Macaca mulatta: one gene and its partners. The protein of the gene in region 1 binds, or shares a complex with, the protein of each later gene. Links are inferred from orthologs where the notes say so. Each region holds a gene or a part of one and is shown in the gene's direction. Other genes may lie near its edges.

What was found.
Region 2: the proteins of ARRB1 (region 1) and CLTC are in contact, whole or in part, in a crystal structure (PDB 3GC3), measured with the Bos taurus proteins. The link is inferred for Macaca mulatta from reciprocal best matches to the Homo sapiens genes ARRB1 and CLTC. Residues at the interface, in NP_776668.1 of Bos taurus: His30, Ile31, Asp32, Leu33, Val34, Glu35, Pro36, Pro96, Thr98, Arg99, Tyr173, Pro175, Lys355, Thr374, Asn375, Leu376, Ile377, Glu378, Leu379, Asp380; in NP_776448.1 of Bos taurus: His12, Leu13, Gln14, Gln16, Asn17, Leu18, Gly19, Val50, Asn56, Asp57, Pro58, Ser59, Asn60, Ile62, Arg63, Arg64, Pro65, Ile66, Ser67, Ala68, Lys78, Ile80, Leu82, Lys83, Ala84, Thr87, Gln89, Phe91, Asn92, Ile93.
Region 3: the proteins of ARRB1 (region 1) and NTSR1 are in contact, whole or in part, in a cryo-EM structure (PDB 6UP7), measured with the Homo sapiens proteins. The link is inferred for Macaca mulatta from reciprocal best matches to the Homo sapiens genes ARRB1 and NTSR1. Residues at the interface, in NP_004032.2 of Homo sapiens: Tyr63, Arg65, Asp67, Leu68, Val70, Leu71, Gly72, Leu73, Thr74, Phe75, Arg76, Lys77, Asn245, Thr246, Ala247, Gln248, Tyr249, Lys250, Lys284, Arg285, Gly286; in NP_002522.2 of Homo sapiens: Ser93, Leu94, Gln95, Ser96, Leu97, Gln98, Thr100, Val101, Arg166, Ile170, Pro173, Lys177, Phe286, Ser287, Met288, Ala289, Ile290, Ala297, Leu298, Gly301, Ser368, Asn370.
Region 4: the proteins of ARRB1 (region 1) and GRM3 are in contact, whole or in part, in a cryo-EM structure (PDB 9II2), measured with the Homo sapiens proteins. The link is inferred for Macaca mulatta from reciprocal best matches to the Homo sapiens genes ARRB1 and GRM3. Residues at the interface, in NP_004032.2 of Homo sapiens: Gly5, Thr6, Arg7, Val8, Phe9, Lys10, Lys11, Ala12, Ser13, Pro14, Tyr21, Arg25, Arg65, Glu66, Asp67, Leu71, Gly72, Leu73, Thr74, Phe75, Arg76, Lys77, Arg103, Leu104, Lys107, Pro133, Arg236, Phe244, Asn245, Thr246; in NP_000831.2 of Homo sapiens: Pro605, Lys608, Ala609, Ile669, Phe670, Asp671, Gly672, Val673, Lys674, Asn675, Ala677, Gln678, Arg679, Lys681, Phe682, Ser684, Cys761, Pro762, Glu763, Phe765, Val834, Val835, Thr836, His837, Gln855, Ser856, Ser857, Ala858, Ser859, Thr860.
Region 5: the proteins of ARRB1 (region 1) and AP2B1 are in contact, whole or in part, in a crystal structure (PDB 2IV8), measured with the Homo sapiens proteins. The link is inferred for Macaca mulatta from reciprocal best matches to the Homo sapiens genes ARRB1 and AP2B1. Residues at the interface, in NP_004032.2 of Homo sapiens: Asp384, Asp385, Val387, Phe388, Glu389, Phe391, Ala392, Arg393, Arg395, Leu396; in NP_001273.1 of Homo sapiens: Arg834, Gln835, Phe837, Leu838, Trp841, Lys842, Asn846, Glu849, Ile876, Ala877, Arg879, Val881, Glu882, Gln884, Tyr888, Glu902, Arg904.

Annotation. Positions count from the first base shown.
Region 1 is NC_133419.1:75,743,716-75,747,905, reverse strand, and holds the start of ARRB1 (beta-arrestin-1), read left to right. Parts: upstream 1-1,383; 5' UTR 1,384-1,621; coding exon of another isoform or gene 1,622-1,641; exon of another isoform or gene 1,642-1,672; intron 1,673-4,190. UniProt on the Homo sapiens protein: Functions in regulating agonist-mediated G-protein coupled receptor (GPCR) signaling by mediating both receptor desensitization and resensitization processes.
Region 2 is NC_133421.1:50,301,857-50,305,365, reverse strand, and holds part of CLTC (clathrin heavy chain 1), read left to right. Parts: intron 1-113; coding exon 114-297; intron 298-494; coding exon 495-687; intron 688-1,128; coding exon 1,129-1,286; intron 1,287-1,486; coding exon 1,487-1,651; intron 1,652-1,763; coding exon 1,764-1,871; intron 1,872-1,949; coding exon 1,950-2,117; intron 2,118-2,241; coding exon 2,242-2,391; intron 2,392-2,479; coding exon 2,480-2,611; exon of another isoform or gene 2,612-2,616; intron 2,617-2,729; coding exon 2,730-2,840; intron 2,841-3,509. UniProt on the Homo sapiens protein: Clathrin is the major protein of the polyhedral coat of coated pits and vesicles. Two different adapter protein complexes link the clathrin lattice either to the plasma membrane or to the trans-Golgi network.
Region 3 is NC_133415.1:115,518,395-115,522,511, forward strand, and holds the start of NTSR1 (neurotensin receptor type 1), read left to right. Parts: upstream 1-1,315; 5' UTR 1,316-2,109; coding exon 2,110-2,823; intron 2,824-4,117. UniProt on the Homo sapiens protein: G-protein coupled receptor for the tridecapeptide neurotensin (NTS). Signaling is effected via G proteins that activate a phosphatidylinositol-calcium second messenger system.
Region 4 is NC_133408.1:132,761,643-132,765,699, reverse strand, and holds the start of GRM3 (metabotropic glutamate receptor 3), read left to right. Parts: upstream 1-1,256; 5' UTR 1,257-2,248; intron 2,249-4,057. UniProt on the Homo sapiens protein: G-protein coupled receptor for glutamate. Ligand binding causes a conformation change that triggers signaling via guanine nucleotide-binding proteins (G proteins) and modulates the activity of down-stream effectors.
Region 5 is NC_133421.1:45,058,197-45,062,194, forward strand, and holds the start of AP2B1 (AP-2 complex subunit beta), read left to right. Parts: upstream 1-1,196; 5' UTR 1,197-1,556; intron 1,557-3,998. UniProt on the Homo sapiens protein: Component of the adaptor protein complex 2 (AP-2). Adaptor protein complexes function in protein transport via transport vesicles in different membrane traffic pathways.

The DNA of each region.
Region 1 (4,190 bases):
GTGGAGAGTGGCAGGACCTGGCCTCACCATCCTGGTTAGGGATCTCCTGTCATCAAAAAGATTCTAGTCTGCTCCTTTCCAGATCTCTGAGCCCTGCAGAAACAACAGGTGGCTTCCTCTTCTTCCCCTGTGGAGGGTGAAGCCCAGAGGCCAAGACTGGGAGGAGGGTTCTGGGCCTTCCTCCATATTCTCTAGCTCCTAACATTGCCCAGAGGTGGGCCACCCTGCCTACCCATCAGCCTTCCCCTGCCCCTCTGCCAAATCTGGACATAATTATAGTAATGATACTGCATATAAACAGTATAGGTAACTGCTTCTGAGCATGATTACAGGAGATGTTTACACACTCACAACAGCATCAGAGTAAATGATAGCTTCCTCCCTTAATACTTAGACCTTTCAGGGATAGTTAGCCAAATCTCAGCAGTGAGGGTGTGGGAAAGACCTTACAATTTCCCACTACCTGCAAAGCAGGAAGGCACCTCAGACAAAGCAGCGTCCCAGCCAAGATTTCACAGGACATCAAGAAGCCTGCAGAGAAGTGGGCTAACATCTACTGGGCACCTACTGTATGCAGGCACTTGGGGAGGCCAGCAAACAAGCAAGTTCTTTCAACCTATTAATTCTGCAGGCTGATATTAGTGTATCCTCACTTTACAGGTGGCCATGGAGCTAGGCATGGGCACTTTCCACGGTGCTACCCGGTCACATCAGCGGGCCAGCTCTGCCCTCTTCCTTTATCGCCTCTTCTCACTTCTCGCAGCTTCCCTTTCCTGGGCGGCTTCCTGCAGCCCTTGCTGGTCGCGGGTCTCCGCTCAGTTCCCCAGTGTCAAGGCCGTCTACTGCCCCCTCCACCCCTTCTTCCTGTCTCTGTTGGGTGACTGGGTGTTATCTCTCCAGTAGAAGGGGGTGGGGTGGGGTGGAATGGGGAAGGGTGGAGCACAGGGCGAAGGCCTTGCCAGGCATCCCGGGGTCTCCAGCTAGGCGAGCGGCCGCAGAGAGCGCGGCCTCGGGGTCGCCAGACCCTCGGCTTCCAACCACACGCACACACAAAGGCTGCCCCGGCATGCGCGGGAGAGCGCGCTCGCACCCACGGCCGTGCGCACACACGCACAACTGCACAAAGACGTGCACACTCCTCCATCCACACCAATACACTCCCAATAGGGCCCGCACACAGCCGTGCGCCCTCACGTACACCACACCACCACCACCATACAAACACACACACACTCACTCATACGGACTCGCACGCGGGTGGACCCCTCCCCCACCACAAACGCCGACCTTGGGGCCTTGACGCGTCCTGCAGCGCTGCCCCGGCTCGCTGGGCGGCGCGCGCACACGCAGACGCACGAGCGCGCGCACACACACACACACCCCGCGCGGTTCCACGCCCCTGACCGCGGCCCGGGCGCTGCGCTGCTCGGCGCGGCGGGAGGCGGGCGGGGACCGGGGGCGGGGGCGGGGGCGGGGGCGGGGGCGGGGGCGGCGGCGGCCGGGAGAGCGGAGAAGGCGGAGCAGGGAGCCGGGAGCGGGCTGGCCCGCGCTCCTCCTGCTGGCCGGGGATTTTCCAGCCTGGGTGCTGACGCCGCGGACCTCCCTGCGGCCGTCGCGGACCATGGGCGACAAAGGGACCCGGTGAGTGCAGGGCGGTCGCCCGGCGTGGGGCGTGTGGGGGCGACCTCGGCGAGGGCACGGGCGGGGGCTCCGATTGCGTCCTGGTTCTGTGTTCGCGGCCATCCCGGGATCTAGTACCAGCCCTCCTCCACCCGAGGTCTCCTGCGTGGTCTCCCCGGCAGGGCCGTGGGCGAGGGGGACCCAAAGGGCGAGGGCCGGGCCGCCCCATGTGGGCCGCGGCTCCTGGCCCGGACACACTCACAGCTTGCTGATACCCAGCATTGGCCGGCAGCCGCAGAAACGCGCGGGGGCAGGTTGACACACAATACACGCACGGGCACACTAACCCGTGGCACAGGCATGCTGGCGCACACACTGGCAGCCACTGGCACACGCTCATCACACACAGTGGCACGCCGTCATACACGCCTCGGTCAACACATTCTTGCTTACAGCCTTGTTGGCATGAACAGCTCACACTCCAACACACACCAATTCTAACACACCCTCGTGCTAGCACACACGTGTGGGCATACACTGATACGCAAACTGTCACCTGCACTCGCTGTAGCAAACACTCTTGCTGGTACACACATCACCCTCACTAGCACACACACTTGTGCTGGCATGTCTCACCAACACAGTGGAGCGCAAGGCCACACCAACACTGACCCCCACAGACACAATCAGACTAATGCTTGCAAAGACTGGCACCCCGCAGGCACGAGCTGCTAGCCGGAGGCCCGCTGACACACACGTTCCAGGCCCCACATGGCCAGAAGTGGAAACACACATCACACGGGGTAGAACGCTCCCCACTGCCCCCAGCCTGGGGAAAACAGATCCCATCCCATCCGAATAGATCGCATCCATCTACTCTGTTCCCTTTCCCTCTGACCTCCTGAGGAGTGGCTGGCCAGGGGCTGTTTTGAACCTAGGGCTGGGAGAACCCCTCCCGTTCTAGAACCTGGCCTGAAATACTCAGAAAGAAACGGTCTATGCCTCTGAAAGGGGAAAGTGGGACAGAAGGAGGAGGGGGCTGGAGCAGGACAGCCCCTGGGGGCAGCCCTTCAGACAGGACCAGCCCTTCAGACAGGACCAGCCCTGGTCAAGGGCTCAGCATTGCCACCCTATTTTCCCCGTTGCCCTCCCCACCCAAGTGGGCACAGCAGCCTCTTCCTGGGCTCCCCCTCTTTCTCATTGTTTTCTGTCTTTCTCCTCTCCTATTCTTGTGCCTGACTTCTGCCTCCTCCCTTTCCTCCCCTCTCCTCTCCTCGGTTCCATTTATTATTAAGCTCTTGCTGTATACTAGGCATAGTGTGGGTAATCAAAGATGCGCAAGGCCCACTCCTCTGAAGGAGCTAACAGACTAGAGAGACACACCCCAGTGGGCACCACCTTTCAGGGCCACTGACAAAGCCATTTCTCACGTACTGCCATCTGAGACTCTCTCTCAACAGTGTGAGAAAGGGCTTCCAGAGATTATTTCTATTTTCTAGAGGAGGAAACTGAGGCTCAGAGGCAACTTAGGCTCTTAATGTTTAGAAATTACTTTCCAGCCATCCTCCTGACAGCTCTTCCAGGAGGTTAATTTTCCTCTTCCTGTTTTCTAGCAGAGGAACCAGAGAGCTGGAGAGGTCATGTGATTTGCCTAAGGTCAAAAGAGGCCAGAGGCAGGGCAGAGGCTGGAGTCCACTTGGTCATGTCTCTGTGGATGGCCCTAGGGCACTACCAGGCCCCACATGGGCCAGGGAGGGGTGCCCTGCTCTGTGCTGGAGGCCCAGGCTTTGGGGGAGACAGCAGAAGATCATGCTGTGTCTGCATGCATCTTGATGGCTAGTCCCCATTGCAGCTGGCTGGCCAGCACTGTGACCTAGGCCTCTGTCCTCAGTAGGAAGGTATGTGACTCCCTCCCCAGCCACATCCATCTTGACCCATGAGGTCAGGCTTTTCTTCCTGCAGGGTATAGCAGGGAGTTGGAGCCATTCTCCACTCCTCCTGTCCTTCCTAGGCTGCCTTGTGATTGGGGTAACTCAGCCTCTCTTGGGTCTCTCTGTACCTCTCTGTGACTTGGGGGATAAGTGTCATTGCTGTCCTGCTGACATGATTGTCAGGAAGATGTGGACACCATGGGCTTCCAGGCACCTGTTGGAGACCCTGTCTCTGAGGCCAAGATATTTTCCATGACTCCCCCTGCCCTGCCTTGAACTCACTGCTGGACCGTTGGGACACTGGGCAATTGCCTTTACTTTTCCGGACCTTAGTTTCCCATCTGTAAACTGGAGCTATCAATACTTAACATTTTAAGGCTTCTCTTGTACTTACTGACTTCACTGGGCAGGGGAAGAGGCACTGCCTGAAGCCTGGAGCCAAGGCCCAGCTAAATCCACCTGATAGTGGCCCTGACCTCCCCCTCAGACTCTCCTGCAGCCCCATGAGGGCTTTCTGTCCCTTTCCAGACAGTTTGCTAAGTAATTTGGAAAAGAAGGGCAAAATCGGTAATGGGCTGTACCTTGTCTTTTTCCGTAAGCCATGAGATTCTACTTTATCTATGACTTAGAGGAGGAATC
Region 2 (3,509 bases), on another chromosome or scaffold:
CCTCCTTCACTCTATCTCTTGAGACAAAAACCTCTCTATTAGTCACAGTGGTTTTTTTTTATGTCTGATAAACTTAAAATATTGCATTTAAAATATTCTTTTGTTTCTTAAAGGAATCTGCAAAACCTCCTTATCCTCACCGCAATTAAAGCTGACCGTACACGTGTTATGGAGTATATTAACCGCTTGGATAATTATGATGCCCCAGATATTGCCAATATCGCCATCAGCAATGAGCTGTTTGAAGAAGCATTTGCCATTTTCCGGAAATTTGATGTCAATACTTCAGCAGTTCAGGTAAATCTTTAGATTACCTAAGTTGAATTACTAAATGTAATGTCTTCTACTCATTCAGTGTATGCACTGTCCTGTGAGGGTGGGCCTAATTTGTTCCTATGGCAATAGAAGAGCAATAAAATACTAACAGCTTAAATGTAATTGCTCTGGGTAGGATTGATTTTACTCTAACCCCAATTTCAAACTTGGGTACTTAGGTCTTAATTGAACATATTGGAAACTTGGATCGGGCATATGAGTTTGCTGAACGTTGCAATGAACCTGCGGTCTGGAGTCAACTTGCAAAAGCCCAGTTGCAGAAAGGAATGGTGAAAGAAGCCATTGATTCTTATATCAAAGCAGACGATCCTTCCTCCTACATGGAAGTTGTTCAGGCTGCCAATACTAGTGGTATGACTTCTTACCTTATGTATTGAGACCTCACAAAATGATTAAGCTAAGCATTAAGATATCTGTCTGTTCTGAATTGTAGAAGAGTTGGATACTGCATGGTTTCCTGTGAAAACTTTTAGTACTCCATCTTAGTCCAGATAAAAAGAGGCTGTATTTTGTGAATTTGTAAGTTCACAAAACTTACAAGTGGGGAAGATAAATTTTCTGTTTTTGAAGTCTCATAAAATCCTGATAATCCTCTAATCTTACAACTTTAAGGAAAAAGAGAATTCTTCTATTCATTTGGTCTTTGATAATACAGAAGTGAAATATTGCACAGTTTACATTTGTCATTATCCATGTTTCCTTGAAAAGGAAATGAGCAATTTTCATTTACTTGGGTGAAAGGTAAACTGGGATGTTAGTGTTTGGATATATTTTTTCTTTTTCTATACTTAGGAAACTGGGAAGAACTGGTGAAGTACTTGCAGATGGCCCGTAAGAAGGCTCGAGAGTCCTATGTGGAGACAGAATTGATATTTGCGCTGGCTAAAACAAACCGCCTTGCAGAGTTAGAAGAATTTATCAATGGACCAAATAATGCTCATATCCAACAAGTGGGTTTCCTTTTCAGATTTAAGAAAAACTAGTTGGGCTACTTGATTAGCTTGGTAGGATCAAAACATCATAACTGAAGAATTCCAAGGAAAAATCTACAGGAAAACAAATTATTTCTCAGTGTGAAGGTATGAATATGAAAAGAGGATTAAGCTCACACTAATATCTTACTGAATATGCGTTACCTTTTTTTTTCCAGGTTGGTGACCGTTGTTATGATGAAAAAATGTATGATGCTGCTAAGTTGTTGTACAATAATGTTTCCAATTTTGGACGTTTGGCATCTACCCTGGTTCACCTGGGTGAATATCAGGCAGCTGTTGATGGGGCTAGGAAAGCTAACAGTACTCGAACATGGAAAGAGGTAATCTAAACCCAAGTTTGAGTGAAGAATTAAAGAAACGCTCTGTAAACATTAGTTTAAACAACTAGCCATGTTTACATTTGAGTTCACAGAAAGGAAATGTTTATTCTAGGTCTGCTTCGCCTGTGTAGATGGGAAAGAATTCCGTCTTGCTCAGATGTGTGGACTTCATATTGTTGTACACGCAGATGAATTAGAAGAACTTATCAACTACTATCAGGTAATTAACAAGAAACTTTTATATGACCTGAGATCTTTTACCATAGATACTCTTTAACTGCACATTTCTCTTGTTCAGGATCGTGGCTATTTTGAAGAGCTGATTACCATGTTGGAAGCAGCACTGGGACTTGAGCGAGCTCACATGGGAATGTTTACTGAATTAGCTATTCTATACTCTAAATTTAAGCCTCAGAAAATGAGGGAGCACCTGGAGCTGTTCTGGTCTAGAGTGAATATTCCCAAGGTAACCAGTCATTGTAACACAGTGAAGCAACTGTGTAGTTAAAACTAATACTTCAAAATATCTTATTCTTTTTAAGGCTGTTAGCTAGACTCATATCTAAAGCAATTAAGTCTTTCTTATGCAGGTGCTAAGAGCTGCAGAACAAGCTCATCTTTGGGCAGAACTGGTGTTTTTGTATGACAAGTATGAAGAATATGATAATGCCATAATTACCATGATGAATCATCCAACTGATGCCTGGAAAGAAGGGCAGTTCAAAGATATCATTACCAAGGTGTGTACTTTCTTCAGAAGATAAAGGATTCAGAAGGAGAAAGCTCATTAGGAAGTAACTGACTTATATATGGATTTTCCCATTATAGGTTGCCAATGTGGAACTATACTATAGAGCAATACAGTTCTATTTAGAATTCAAGCCTCTGTTGTTAAATGATTTGCTGATGGTGCTGTCTCCACGGTTGGATCACACTCGTGCAGTCAATTATTTCAGCAAGGTAAAGTAATAATTTTAAACCAAAGCTTCATAGCAAGGAATTAGGACATATTAGGATAACTTTTGTCCCTGGGACTTCAATAATGTGCTATATTTGTAACAAACTCTTTATTTTAAAGGTTAAACAGCTACCACTGGTGAAACCATATTTGCGTTCAGTTCAGAACCATAACAACAAATCTGTGAATGAATCATTAAACAACCTCTTTATTACAGAAGAAGATTATCAGGTAAAACCTTTTGATTCTTGCACATAATCTTAAGACTCATAAAGTTACATTTTCCCATTTTTCAAAAACGCCATTATCATTTAGGATTGTAAACAGTAGTTGCTTGCATTCCTAGGATCTAAATTTAGTAAGGTTTCAGGATTGATAAATCTTACTTCTAATTAAGTGCCAAGTTTTCAGAATTTTGCTCAGATCTTGTATAAGATACTGCTTTTGAAAAAAGATATGATTACTTTATCTCTAACATCTAGATTATAGGTAGAGTCAAAAATGTCTTTGATCACTTAACTAGTTCATAAAATTTATTTGATATTAACTATATTCACCATTTTTCTTTCCTACTGTTTTATTAGTATTTGTATAAACTTTATCTTACGAAGGATTTCGCATAAGCAAAAGTCAAGTAGAGTGAAGCTTAAGCTCCTTGCCTTTTTTTCTCTCTCTTGATTTTCTTTGAGGCTCCGTGCATGCAGATCTTACTGCTGCCATGCTGAGTTTTATCAGAAGTTTCTCTAGGGAATAAAATCTTGCCCTCCAGGCCAGGCGCGGTGGCTCACGCCTGTAATCCCAGCACTTTGGGAAGCCGAGGCGGGCAGATCATGATGTCAGGAGATCGAGACCATCCTGGCTACACAATGAAACCCCGTCTCTACTAAAATACAAAAAAAA
Region 3 (4,117 bases), on another chromosome or scaffold:
TGGCATTTCCTTTGATGCCAGGATTTCTAAGCTGTGATGTTTGTGAGCTGCAGCTCCCTGACAACAGTATCAGGCTTCGGTTGAACAGAGAAGCCCAAAGCAGGGCGAGAACAGATGAATAAGCATGGAGTCCCACTGCCAGCCATCAGCTCAGGAGCCTTGAATTCTCCTAGCTGGGTGGGCCCAGGAGGGGGTTCCTCAGCCTCCCACTTCCCTCAACACCCTGCAACGCCTGCCCCAGCCTGCCCAGGTTTCCTGCTCCCAGCACAACAGCTGCAGCCAGCAACGTCCACAAAGGCCAGGCTGGTTCCCCAGCCCTGCACACACGCAGCAGCAGCTCTACCCAACCTCTCCCAGGGGTTCTGGGGAGGAGGGAGCAGGGGAGGGGACGGGGAGGGCCTAGAGAAGGGACAGTAGTGCCCTGGGGGCTCCTGGGCAACCCAGACATGCAGGGGACAAGCTTGTGCCTGGTCACCTATGCCAGTGCTACCAGTGCTATGCCAGTGCTACCAGGCGCTGCGGGGACAGGGAAAGGACAAGAATCTCGCTCTCACGTGGCTCCCGAGCCAGGGGCAGGGGCACCCTGTGAGGCGCTCCGAGGGAGGGAGTGTGCAAAGCCTGCAGGGCCTGTGAGGAGGCCCTGACGCGTGCTGTGGGGCTGCCCCTCCCAAATCCTGCTGGGGTGTGGGCTCTCAGGGTGACTTCTGATGACAAATCCAGGCAGTAATAAGGGACCCAGGGGATCACATCCCATAGCATCATGAGACCGGCCCAGGGTGCCAGGTGCGGGGCCCTGAGTGGGGAGGGTGCTGTTCTGGGCACCTGCTTTCCGCCCTCCCTCATTAACTCCTCCCTAGACTTTGATGAAACCATCTGTGGCTCCTGGCCTCTGCAGGACCCAGCCCCTCAGCTCCTCAGCCTCTGCAGGACCCAGCCCCTCAGCTCCTCAGCCTCTGCAGGACCCAGCCCCTCAGCTCCTCAGCCTCTGCAGGTGTCCCTCGGTACTGCCTCACGCCCCTGCCCCAGGTGATAACTATGCCCTGAGCCCCCACCATTCCCACTGGGCATATCCCAGAAATACGCATTCACAGACCAGGCACGCCCATGACTGCAGCTAGATTTTAAAAGGAATCACAAGAAATGTAATCTCTAGTGGTCCTGGAGCCCCCCTGGGCACCCAGCTTCTGGCACCCTGTGGACACCCAGGAGTAGGGGGGCGGCCCAACCAGCTGCGCAGCCGCCCAGCCCTGCCAGCGGGGAGCTTCCTCCCTCCCTGCCCTCCGGATACACCCTCACCCCCACTGAGCGAGCCCAGGGTTGGGGGAGGTGCATAGTTCCCTTACTAGCCGGAGCGAGAAATTGCGGAGAACAGGGAAAAGGGTGGCAGGAAGGGCCCGGTGCACGATACCCGCCGCACCCGCCCGGAATCCTGGTTCACTGGAGCGCTCAACCCAGCCCGCCCTGCCCCGGGGAGCGCGAGGGGGCGACCCGCCAGGCTGCACCCGGGTGGGGCGGGGACGACAGCGGGGGCTGCCTCCCTCCTCCGCCGCCACCCCCAACTGCTGGGCGCGCCGCGCGGCCGCCGGCTTCGTGGAGACGCGCAGAGCCGGGAGGGCGCGGGCGCGGCGGGAAGTGTGCGGGGCTAGGGTGCGCGGAGAGCGCGAGGGAGGAGATTCGGAGCGAGGGAGGGGAGCGCGCCGGGGCAGCCGTGCGTGCATTCCTCCCGGCGCCACAAGCTCGCCCCGCGCAGCCCGAGCCAGGCTGGGCGCTGTCCTCGGGAGCCTGGGGAACCGCGCGATTTGGAGATCAGAGGCACCCGGAACCGGTGGCAAGCGCCGAGCCCGGAGACAGCCCGAGGAACCGCGGAGTCTGGAGCCAGGAGCCCGGAGCTGGGAGTCCGGAGCTGGGAGTCCGGAGGAGCGCGGAGCCCGGAGCTCGGGGCGGCGCGTCTGGGTCTGGCGCTTCCCGGCTGGACGGCGCGCCCGCTGGTCTTCGCCACGCGCCCTCCTCTGGGCTCCCGTTCATCGGTCCCCGACTGAGACGTGCCCAATCCGCCCGGACTTCCAGCCCCGGAGGCGCGGGACAGAGCCGCGGACCCCAGCGCCCACCATGCGCCTCAACAGCTCCACGCCGGGAACCCCGGGCACGCCGGCCGCCGACCCCTTCCAGCGGGCGCAGGCAGGACTGGAGGCGGGGCTGCTAGCCCCGGGCTTCAGCAACGCTTCGGGCAACGCGTCGGAGCGCGTCCTGGCGGCACCCAGCAGCGAGCTGGACGTGAACACCGACATCTACTCCAAGGTGCTGGTGACCGCCGTGTACCTGGCGCTCTTCGTGGTGGGCACCGTGGGCAACACGGTGACGGCGTTCACGCTGGCGCGGAAGAAGTCGCTGCAGAGTCTGCAGAGCACGGTGCATTACCACCTGGGCAGCCTGGCGCTGTCCGACCTGCTCACCCTGCTGCTGGCCATGCCGGTGGAGCTGTACAACTTCATCTGGGTGCACCACCCCTGGGCCTTCGGCGACGCGGGCTGCCGCGGCTACTACTTCCTGCGCGACGCCTGCACCTACGCCACGGCCCTCAACGTGGCCAGCCTGAGTGTGGAGCGCTACCTGGCCATCTGCCACCCCTTCAAGGCCAAGACCCTCATGTCCCGAAGCCGCACCAAGAAGTTCATCAGCGCCATCTGGCTCGCCTCGGCCCTGCTGGCGGTGCCCATGCTGTTCACCATGGGCGAGCAGAACCGCAGCGCCGACGGCCAGCACGCCGGTGGCCTGGTGTGCACCCCCACCATCCACACCGCCACTGTCAAAGTCGTCATACAGGTAAGCCTCAGTAACCAGCCCCGGGGCTCCCCTCTCCTTCACCCCAAAAGCAACGCCAGTGGTGTGCCTTCTGGGTAGGGAGTGGGAGAGAGGTCACAGAGACAGTCTACTCCTGTGAGGCTGCGAAGGCGGTTGGGGCAGCTTGGGTGCAGCTCCGGAGTTGCCAGGCTCAGCCCCTATCTTCTCCCCTCCTGTTGAGGGGATGGAGCCCCTGCCTGTGACCTCCCTGGGGTTGGTGGCTGGGCCTCCGACGTCTGTGAATTCCTTAAGTTCTAATGGAAACATGTGCGCTGGCACCTGCGTCTCCAAAGGAAGGGGTCCCTTTCATCAGCTTCTCAAAAGGCTTTGTGCCCCCAACAGGTTACGTTCCTCTCCTCTGCAGAGAAGCCCCCAGACTGACTCTGCCAGTGCCTCCCAACTGCCTGCCCTGACCCAAACTGGGGAGTCCCCACACTGACTCTGCCGGTGCCTCCCAACTGCCTGCCCTGACCCAAACTGGGGAGTCAGAGCAGAACCTGATGCCATCTTGGGCTGGTTCCTAGTTTAGCCTCAGCTTTCCCATCTGTATGATGGGGTAGTCTTAGCATTGACCTCAGAAGGTAGAGCATTTGAGAGAGAATGTATGGGAAGTGTTTGCATGGCCCCCGACACATAGAAGCGCTCACAGGTACTATTACTGCTGGATGGTGGGGACGATGTTTCTGCTGGGAAGGTTGTGAGGCTCTGCGGGTGGTGGTGGTGTTGTGGTGAGGTGCGTAAAACTGGAGCCGAGTGACCAAGGGCCCCCCAAGGGTCTGAGCAAAGCGCCGTAGGAATGCAGGTGGGAAGCCCCCTTGGGAATCAGTTTGGCTGAGGTTCGTGGCTGGAGGGGAGGACTGATCAAACCAAAGTCCCGAGCCGGAGGTTGGTGTCCAGGGAGGAAGTCAGGGCTGGTCGGGCACTTTGGATGGCACCTTGGACACGAGCAGCCTTCGAGGTGTGGGGTTTCTTCCATTTCTGGTGGGCTAAGGAAGCCAGAGGGTGAAGGATCCAGGCAGAGTCGCCCACCTCTGCCCAGCTAGAGGGGCTGGGGTGGCTGGCTGTCCCCCTGGCTCCCGACACACCAGCATCAGCAGCCTCCCAGCTAAGCTTCTGTAGTTGCCTGGGCAGCCCTCATATGCCAGTGTGCCCGGTGGGGGTGGGGGCAGCAGTGCCGGGCAGGGCGTCACCTGGGCCCTAACTGACCCTCCACTGGCCACCACCCAGGTGGACTGGGGGGTGGGGGGTAGAACTGAGCTCCCAGTCTCCCCGGCTG
Region 4 (4,057 bases), on another chromosome or scaffold:
GAGACAAAAACAACAGCTCTCTTCTGCTTCTCTCAATCCCAGCTAGTTCTGATAAGGTCATGGAAGTGCAAAATGATGTCTTCTGGAATGTTCTGAAAGAGACCAAAATCTACCCACGCAGCTTCATGGGGATCTGAAGCCCTGCAGTGTATAAATCTTTATCTTCCTCATGTTCACGTAATTGCCACTTGATATACAGTTGTCTATTGGGCAGACATTGTTAAAAATAAATAAATTCTTAAAATTAAAATTAAATTCCTATAAAGATCTTCTGGTGAACAATACATGCTAGAAAATACTAATGAAACACAAAGAACAGGAATTATGCTTGTATGTGGTCAATGCTATTGCATTCCAGAAAGAATAATGTTGAAAGGGGGACTTCTAAATTTTTAGCATTTTGCTATATAATAACACTTTAATTTTTAATATATTCAAATTTCTGGATTTTGTGCAGTTCACAATGAAATATATATATATATATATATATATATATATGCACATGTGTCTTTTAAATATTGCTATCCCTCTAAGAGAATCAGTAGGTAAAACTATTTCTGTAGTTTAAAAGTTCTGGCTAGGTTACAAAAACAGCAATTGTTAAACAACTCAACATTAAATATTAAAGACTAAATGTAGCATTTAAAACATTACATTTAATTGTGTCTGGCTTCATATAATTCAGTCCTTGGTTAATACAAAGTTAGTATATTAGAGTACAAAAATTAATGAAGTTTCAATTTGGAAATTAAACGGTGTGTGTTTCTAGACATAGAGAGATGCCTGGAATTTTACCTTTAGGATTTTATCTGTAGCTTGCAGCCTATTAAAGCTATTACACGTGCCTTTTTCTCTTTTGTGCCTACGTCATCGATTTAAGGTTCCTATTTATTTATTTAATTTTAAGAAGAAAGAAGAGGTTCTGTAGGAAACATTGACTGTATCTGACAACCATAGTAGGACTAGAGAAGGACTAATGAGGGGTTGCTGGGGGTAGCTTTAAGAAGGCGAAGTGGTAGCACAAAAGGATAAGAAGATAATTCAGCAGTCCCCTATAATCTTATTCCACCCAAGAAATTTGGGAGAATGCGAAAAAGCAGCAGCCCAGCATTCCTGGATGGGCGTGGCTTCTCTCCAGGGGCTGTCCAATCGAATTCCTTCAGAGGAAGAAGATTGATAAGGGTTGCTAGGAAACAGGAGCGTCTCCCTCCCGCCTGACCCAGAGATTGTTCTGCACAAACCCTCTCCAGGGGCTCGCAGTGTGCAGCTGAGTCGCGAGTAGGGCTGAGCTGCGCACCGACCTCCCTGGCTCTCACACTCCCTCTCTGTTCCCGCTCTCCTAGTCCCCTCTGGCATGCGGTCAGCCCCCTGCCCAGGGACCACAGGAGAGTTCTTCTAAGGACTGACTGTTAGTCCCTGCTCATCTGAAAGCCAAGCGCTCTAGCAGAGCTTTAAAGTTGGAGCCGCCACCCTCCCTACCTCCCCATGCTCCTTTACCCCACTCGGAAATTCACCGACCTTTGCATGCACTGCCTAAGGATTTCAGAGTGAGGCAAAGCAGTCGGCAAAGCTACCCTGGCTTTTCATATAAAAATCCTCTCGTCTAGGTACCCTGGCTCATTGAAGACTCTGCAGATATACCCTTATAAAAGGAGGGTGGATGGGGGAGAGTGGGGGAGGGGGAGAGGGAAAAGAGGAATGAGAGAGGGAGGAAAGAATGAAAAGGAGAGGATGCCAGGAGGTCCGTGCTTCTGCCGAGAGTCCCAAATAGATGCGACGGCTTCAGCCTGGTCAAGGTGAAGGAAAGTTGCTTCCGCGCCTAGGAAGTGGGTTTGCCTGATAAGAGAAGGAGGAGGGGACTCGGCTGGGAAGTGCTCCCCTCCCCTCCGCGGAAGACCACTGGGTCCCCCCTTTCCCCAACCTCCTCCATCTCTACTACTCCACCCCTCCGTTTTCCCACTCCCCACTGACTCGAATGCCTGGATGCTCTGCCACCGGGCAGTGGTCCAGCGTGCAGCCGGGAGGGGGCGGGGGCAGGGGGCACTGTGACAGGAAGCTGCGCGCACAAGTTGGCCATTTCGAGGGCAAAATAAGTTCTCCCTTGGATTTGGAAAGGACAAAGCCAGCAAGCTACCTCTTTTGTGTCGGATGAGGAGGACCAACCATGAGCCAGAGCCCGGGTGCAGGCTCACCGCCGCCGCTGCCACCACGGTCAGCTCCAGTTCCTGCCAGGAGTTGTCGGTGCGAGGTAAGGGGCCCAGAGGAGGACGTGCCCCTCTGGAGGGCGCCCAGCCAGGGCGCGGAAGCTTGGGTGCCGCGTGGGGCAGGCGCAGCCGGGAAAGTTGAGGCAGAGCATGGACCAGTCCCTACAGTCCTGCCTGGAGTGGGAAGGGTGTAGGGCAGAGGCGATGTGGGTGTGCATGAGTGAGAGTCTGTGTGTGCGCCCACGTCTGTGTCTGGGAGGAGGGAGATTTCAGGGCACAGATCTGTGGTCAGGGTGCGAGAGGCGAAGGGACGAACTAGCACTGGCAGACCCCCAGAGAGACCAGTCTCATCAGCCAACCACCTCTATCTCAGCTCTGGGCTCAGAATTTGTTTCTGTTTGGGGGCTCCCTAAGGCTTTGTGCACAGGAATCCGTGCGATAACTGGCTGACATACGGGCGGTTTCATGTGGGTGTGGAGGTTGCCGGCAGAGGTGGGCAACGGTCAGCAGGACCTGGTCCGTGCAGCCCGGATAAGCTCCGAAGCCGGAGATGGCCAGAGGTTTGCCCTCCCGGGAGCACGGTTGGAAAGGAGCCTTAACTAGCTGCCCTTTGCTCCTTTTGACTTGAGTGAAAAATCAAAAAGCCAGACAGGGAGCATATCTTTTCATCAATCCTGTTCCATTTTCTTATCTGACAGTGAGATAACTCAGAGAGGGCGGGCGATTTGCGATCCAAAAATAGACTAGGTGATATATCCAATAAGCTTGTTTCTTAAGGATTTCATTTAAATTTCTTTGTAGTTATTCCTTGGGTTACCAAAGGTGGACAATTCTCAAAGGTATAACACTTTCAGGTAAATATATTAAGGAAGCATTCTCCCACTTTAAGTATTTTATATATTGTAAATTTTTAAAAACAAATAAAACTGTGCACCTCTAAAGATCTTTGGTTAAGGACTCAACTAATTTGCTTATAAAATATTTCTACTATTATTTGAACAGTAATAGATATGTTTTGGGTCTATATGTAGGTACGTATTGGAATATTCAAAGTTAAAGTTAATGTGAGTTGAGGTAGGTGTGAGTTAAGTACCAACAATAGTTCCTTAGAGTTTCTTTGCTTGAATTTCTTAGAACTGTCCAGCAGAGCTACAGTATGTTTCTTTGTGGTGGGTGGAGGGGAGGTTGGGGGGTGGAGTCTGCTTTGGTTTATCTGATCACACATTTTAAGATTCTTCTCTGAATTCTAATTGTTTGCAGAAGTATATTCAATATAGGCATTACTAAAATAATCTGCATTGCCACTATGCTAAACTATGGATAACAGTTCCTACCAAAGATGCTTAGGACACTCTAATGAATAACTATGATTCTATATTCCTATGTACCTTGTTTCTAAAAACAGCCCAAGAGAATTTGAATATATTTGGAAGCTATTGTACACCAGAAATTGTAATATTTTTCCTTTCACAATGGGTAGTGTTTTATATTTACAAAGACTTCTCACACCTGTAGACTTTAGCTGTCCATCCTATTGGGTTTTGATCACCCAGCAGTAGTACATAGATATTTAGAATAAACATGCCCAAAGGCTATCTTATGTTCAGAGTAACACAGGAGCTCAGGATGGAAAATGAGGAAAGGAAGTCTTGAAACCTATACTTTAACAAATAAAACAATGAAATTCCAGAATATCTACCTTTATTAGATGAAAAAGAATATGGCAACAATATCTTTTAGCATTGAAACCCCTCCTGCTCCTAGATATTATATATTTAGGTATAAAACTGTAGTTTTATGAGTTAGGCCCTTACCAATGAAATATGAAACCTAAATCATAGAAAATCATGCCA
Region 5 (3,998 bases), on another chromosome or scaffold:
AGAGACGGGGTTTCACCACATTGGCCAGGCTGGTCTCAAACTCTTGACCTCAGGTGATCTGCCCACCTCAGTCTCCTAAAGGGCTGGGATTACAGGTGTGAGCCACCATGACTGGCCTATCCTAGCCTTTTTTTTCTATACATATATAGTCATACCATATACTATATTGTTTTGTATCCTATTTTTACTTAACACTTTATGAATTTTCTGTCATAAAATATTCTATAACATTATGCAGCTATCTGATTTACCATAAGTGTTTACATTATCTCTCTTTATACCTGGCTTTCCAATTTCCCCTATTCCTCTATTTTAATAACAGGAAATAATAATACATGAGTATGTTATACAAAATTTTAATGTACTTCTGATCACTTTTTTAAGAATGAAGTTTTAAAATACTTAAACACTTTCTGACTCACAGAGTTCATGGGCAAAATGTGAGAAAAATAAATAATCACTTTGCTCTCCATCCTTCCTTACACCCTGAAATTAACCTTAGGGACAGCTAGTTCATTTAACCTCATCAATCTTGTTCTCCAGTTCCAGGTCCTGGAATCTAGGTCTTAGTTTCCGAAAGAAACTTACTTTTGTGTAAGCACACCTATTATATACTAGGCACTTGACCTAATTTATCTGGTTTACGCTTCACATGCCCGAGAGAGATACTATCATTGTCTTCATTTCACAGATAAGAAGATTGAGGAGACATTAACTTTCCCAGTCACATTCAGGGTAGGGATTCAAACTCACATCCAATGCCTCCTCAACCTCTTTTACCTGCACCACTATCCTCTAGCCCCACTGCCCGTATATAGCCCTGGGTTATATCACCATTGTCCGCTCTTGAGCCTGGAAGGAAAATGAGCTGAGGGGTTTTGTTTTTTCACAAAGGAACAGGATATTTCATCATCTCTGTGTTTACGTTTTTCAGAGAATTTCTGTGCGAGGTAACAAATCCATTGTCAGCGTTTTAAATATATTCCTTTGGAGTAGCCACTTAACATCCTCTGAGGCCCAGATGGGCCAGCTTTGCTGGGACCATGGGAAATGTTTGGGGCTGGAAGGCGACAGAGATTACCGCCTTGCTAGGTCTCCCGCGCACCCCGATGACGTCACGCGGCGAGGTTCTCTGACGTCAGAGTTTCCTGCCCACCATCTTTGTCCCTGGCAAAGTGGGTTTTGCGCAGTGGCTTAGACCTAGAAAAGAATCGTGACGGGCAGGAAACCATTACACCACCACCCGGGCTGTGCTCTCCGGCTCCCGCCGCCACCCCCGCCCTCGACTTCGCCTCCGCCTCCGGTGAGTTCAGGGAGGCTGCCTTTGGGGTGTGTCCCTAATTGACGGGGTGGGGGACGAAAAGAAGGGGAACCCCAGGCTGGGTCGAGGACCGGCGGAAGCGAGGATATCCTAAGAGCGTGACCGTTGAGGATACAGGGAACCGTCGGGTGTGACCAGTGAGAGGAAAAAGGTTGGAGAAAGGGTCTCCACCATGATGACTGTGGTGCGGTGAGGGAATCCTCGGGTGTGGCAGCAAGTAGTTGGGGGCATGAGGGTAAGATGTACTTCGGAATTGGGGGTTTAGGAGGACCAGAGGCCAGGGGTGTGGCTGATAGAGCCTGGAGGCCGTGGGGGGAACCGTCTTTCTTCCCCGCTCGGCGTCGTTCACTAAGAGTCACTAAGAGTCTGAGACGTGTCCAGCAAAAGCGAAAGGGAAAAACCCGTTTGCTCATTGATGGGCGAACGTCGTCTGTCCAGTAACTTGAGGGTAAGAGACAACCTCTTCCCTGCTCCGTAATGGAGGAGCATATCGCTAGAATCTTGACCACTTGGGGAAAGAAGAGGCATTCCTGACTCTTGGAGGAAGAGTAACCTCCAGAATTGACCCGATGTAAGAGAGGGGGAAGCAAATGGGGGTAAATCTTAACCCACCTTTTTTTTTTTTTTTTCTTCTTTTTCTGGGCTCTGCGGGAATGGTCTGGCTTGGGAAAGGCTGTAGATTAAGCTGAAAGTAAAGAAACTGGAACTTACTGTTATTTCCTTATCATTTGAATCCAAATAATTTGTTCATGCTGCTTATTTTCAAGAGCAGTCTTCTGTTGGAGGGGTGGGGTGGGGGGACAGGCTTTCATTGAACTCACGCGGATGCTTCATTAAACGTTTGACTTTTATTTTATTTTATTTTTATATTTTCAGTGACAGGGTCTTACTGTGTTGCCCAGTCTAGTCTAGAACCCCTGGGCTCAAGCGATCCTCCCTATTCGGCCTCCCACAGTGCTGTGATTACAGGCGTGAGCCAGAGCGCCCAGCCAAACTTGACTTTTGAAAAGAAAAAATGTTTTGAAAACCGCCAAAGACTTATCGTAACCATTGTGGTTTAAAAGAAAATGCATTAAACTTACAAAGGCAGAATGACTAAGAAAGAAGGTGGTCTCAATGAGAATCAATTTAAATTATTAATTACCTTCCTTGTATACTTGAATTGCTTAGCCTCAGGGTACACTTACAAAGTAATAATAGAAAGTAGCAGATGAAGGAGGTGCAGCTCTATAAGAAAACGTGTAACACATTCCAGTGATGACTAAGCGTGCTGGTAAGGTGAGAACTGTTTGCAGGTATCTTAACCGTTGAAACTTTCAAGGAAGCAGAAAGGGTGATGTATAATGCAAGCATCCTCACTAAAAGCTGGGTGGTAAAATCAATATAAATCTAATATTCTGACTGTATATGAAGAAACTCAAGTCCAGTTCTTTCATTCTTTCCGTCCTTAAAAGATCCATATTTTGAAGTACTAACTTTTTAGGCACAGGTTTGAACCAAGCTGAGCAAGGAATATATTAAATAGGGCACCTTCTCCTTTCTCTTGTCCTTTCTTTCCTTCCAGGCTTAAGTTTTCCAGAGTTTAATGTTATTTTGGTTAAGAATTAGATGTAAAACTTTTGAACTCCTTTGCTTCTATATAATATTAAGAAGCTACTTTGTAGTCTAAGTAGAAATCACAGGTGATTTTAGCTTTTGTGTCGTAATTTCTTATGAGAAAAATAATACCTGATGATGCTATTGTCTTTGCATTATTACTGAATATTTGATTAGAAATGAATTTGGCACCTCTCACCCTTACAATAAAAGATTACTGGAATGACATTTCTGCTTTATAATTTGGTTAACTTTGTTCTGTTTTTTACTGTGAGCACTGAGCTTTGTAAAATCCAACTTTGTGAAAAGAAGGGTTTAGGGACTTTACGAACTAATTTGGCTTCCCAGAGAGCCATTTGAATTAAGATCCTATTAATTTTTTTTGACCTTATTCTACCCAAGGTATTAATCTTATTTTGCTGCTCAATTTCTCTTTTAGGGAACTGGAGGGAGGTATAGGAGAGGAGGGACTTTGACAACCTATATTTCATAGAAACTAGGTTATGTTAAATCTGGATATGTAATCCTGTGCAGGGAGGCCTACTCCGAAATGCAGTGACATCACACTCTGGTCAGGGCAAGTAAGAGTGATTATGTGCTTTGACTCTGGCAGCTTTGTTGTTTAACAATGGCCTTAGGCCATATCATAAATCCTCAGAACAGCCGTGACTTGTCTGGTTTGATCTGGTAGAAAGGTAGTGTTAGTTCAAATTCCGTCATGGCTTTGCTTATTTCTCTGGCTCTTCTGAAGGAACATTTTCTCCCCCAAAGGAGCAGCTTGATTTTTGAGGCACTTCAGCAAATATTTGAGTTTTTTTGTTTTTTTTTTTCTTGAGCTCTATTTTGTTTACTTTTTCTGTTACTTCTAATGAAGATGTCAGTTTTTGCCATCCTGTATTTTGGAGACTCTGGCTATGTCCATATCTAGCATGTGATTAAATGTGTCTCTCATTATATGAGGTAAGAACTCACTATATGAGAGATACACTTAATCATATATATGTGATTATTTTTTTGAGGTGAAATTCACGTACCATAAAATGAACCAGCTTAAGGCATACAGTTCAGTGGAATTTAGTAC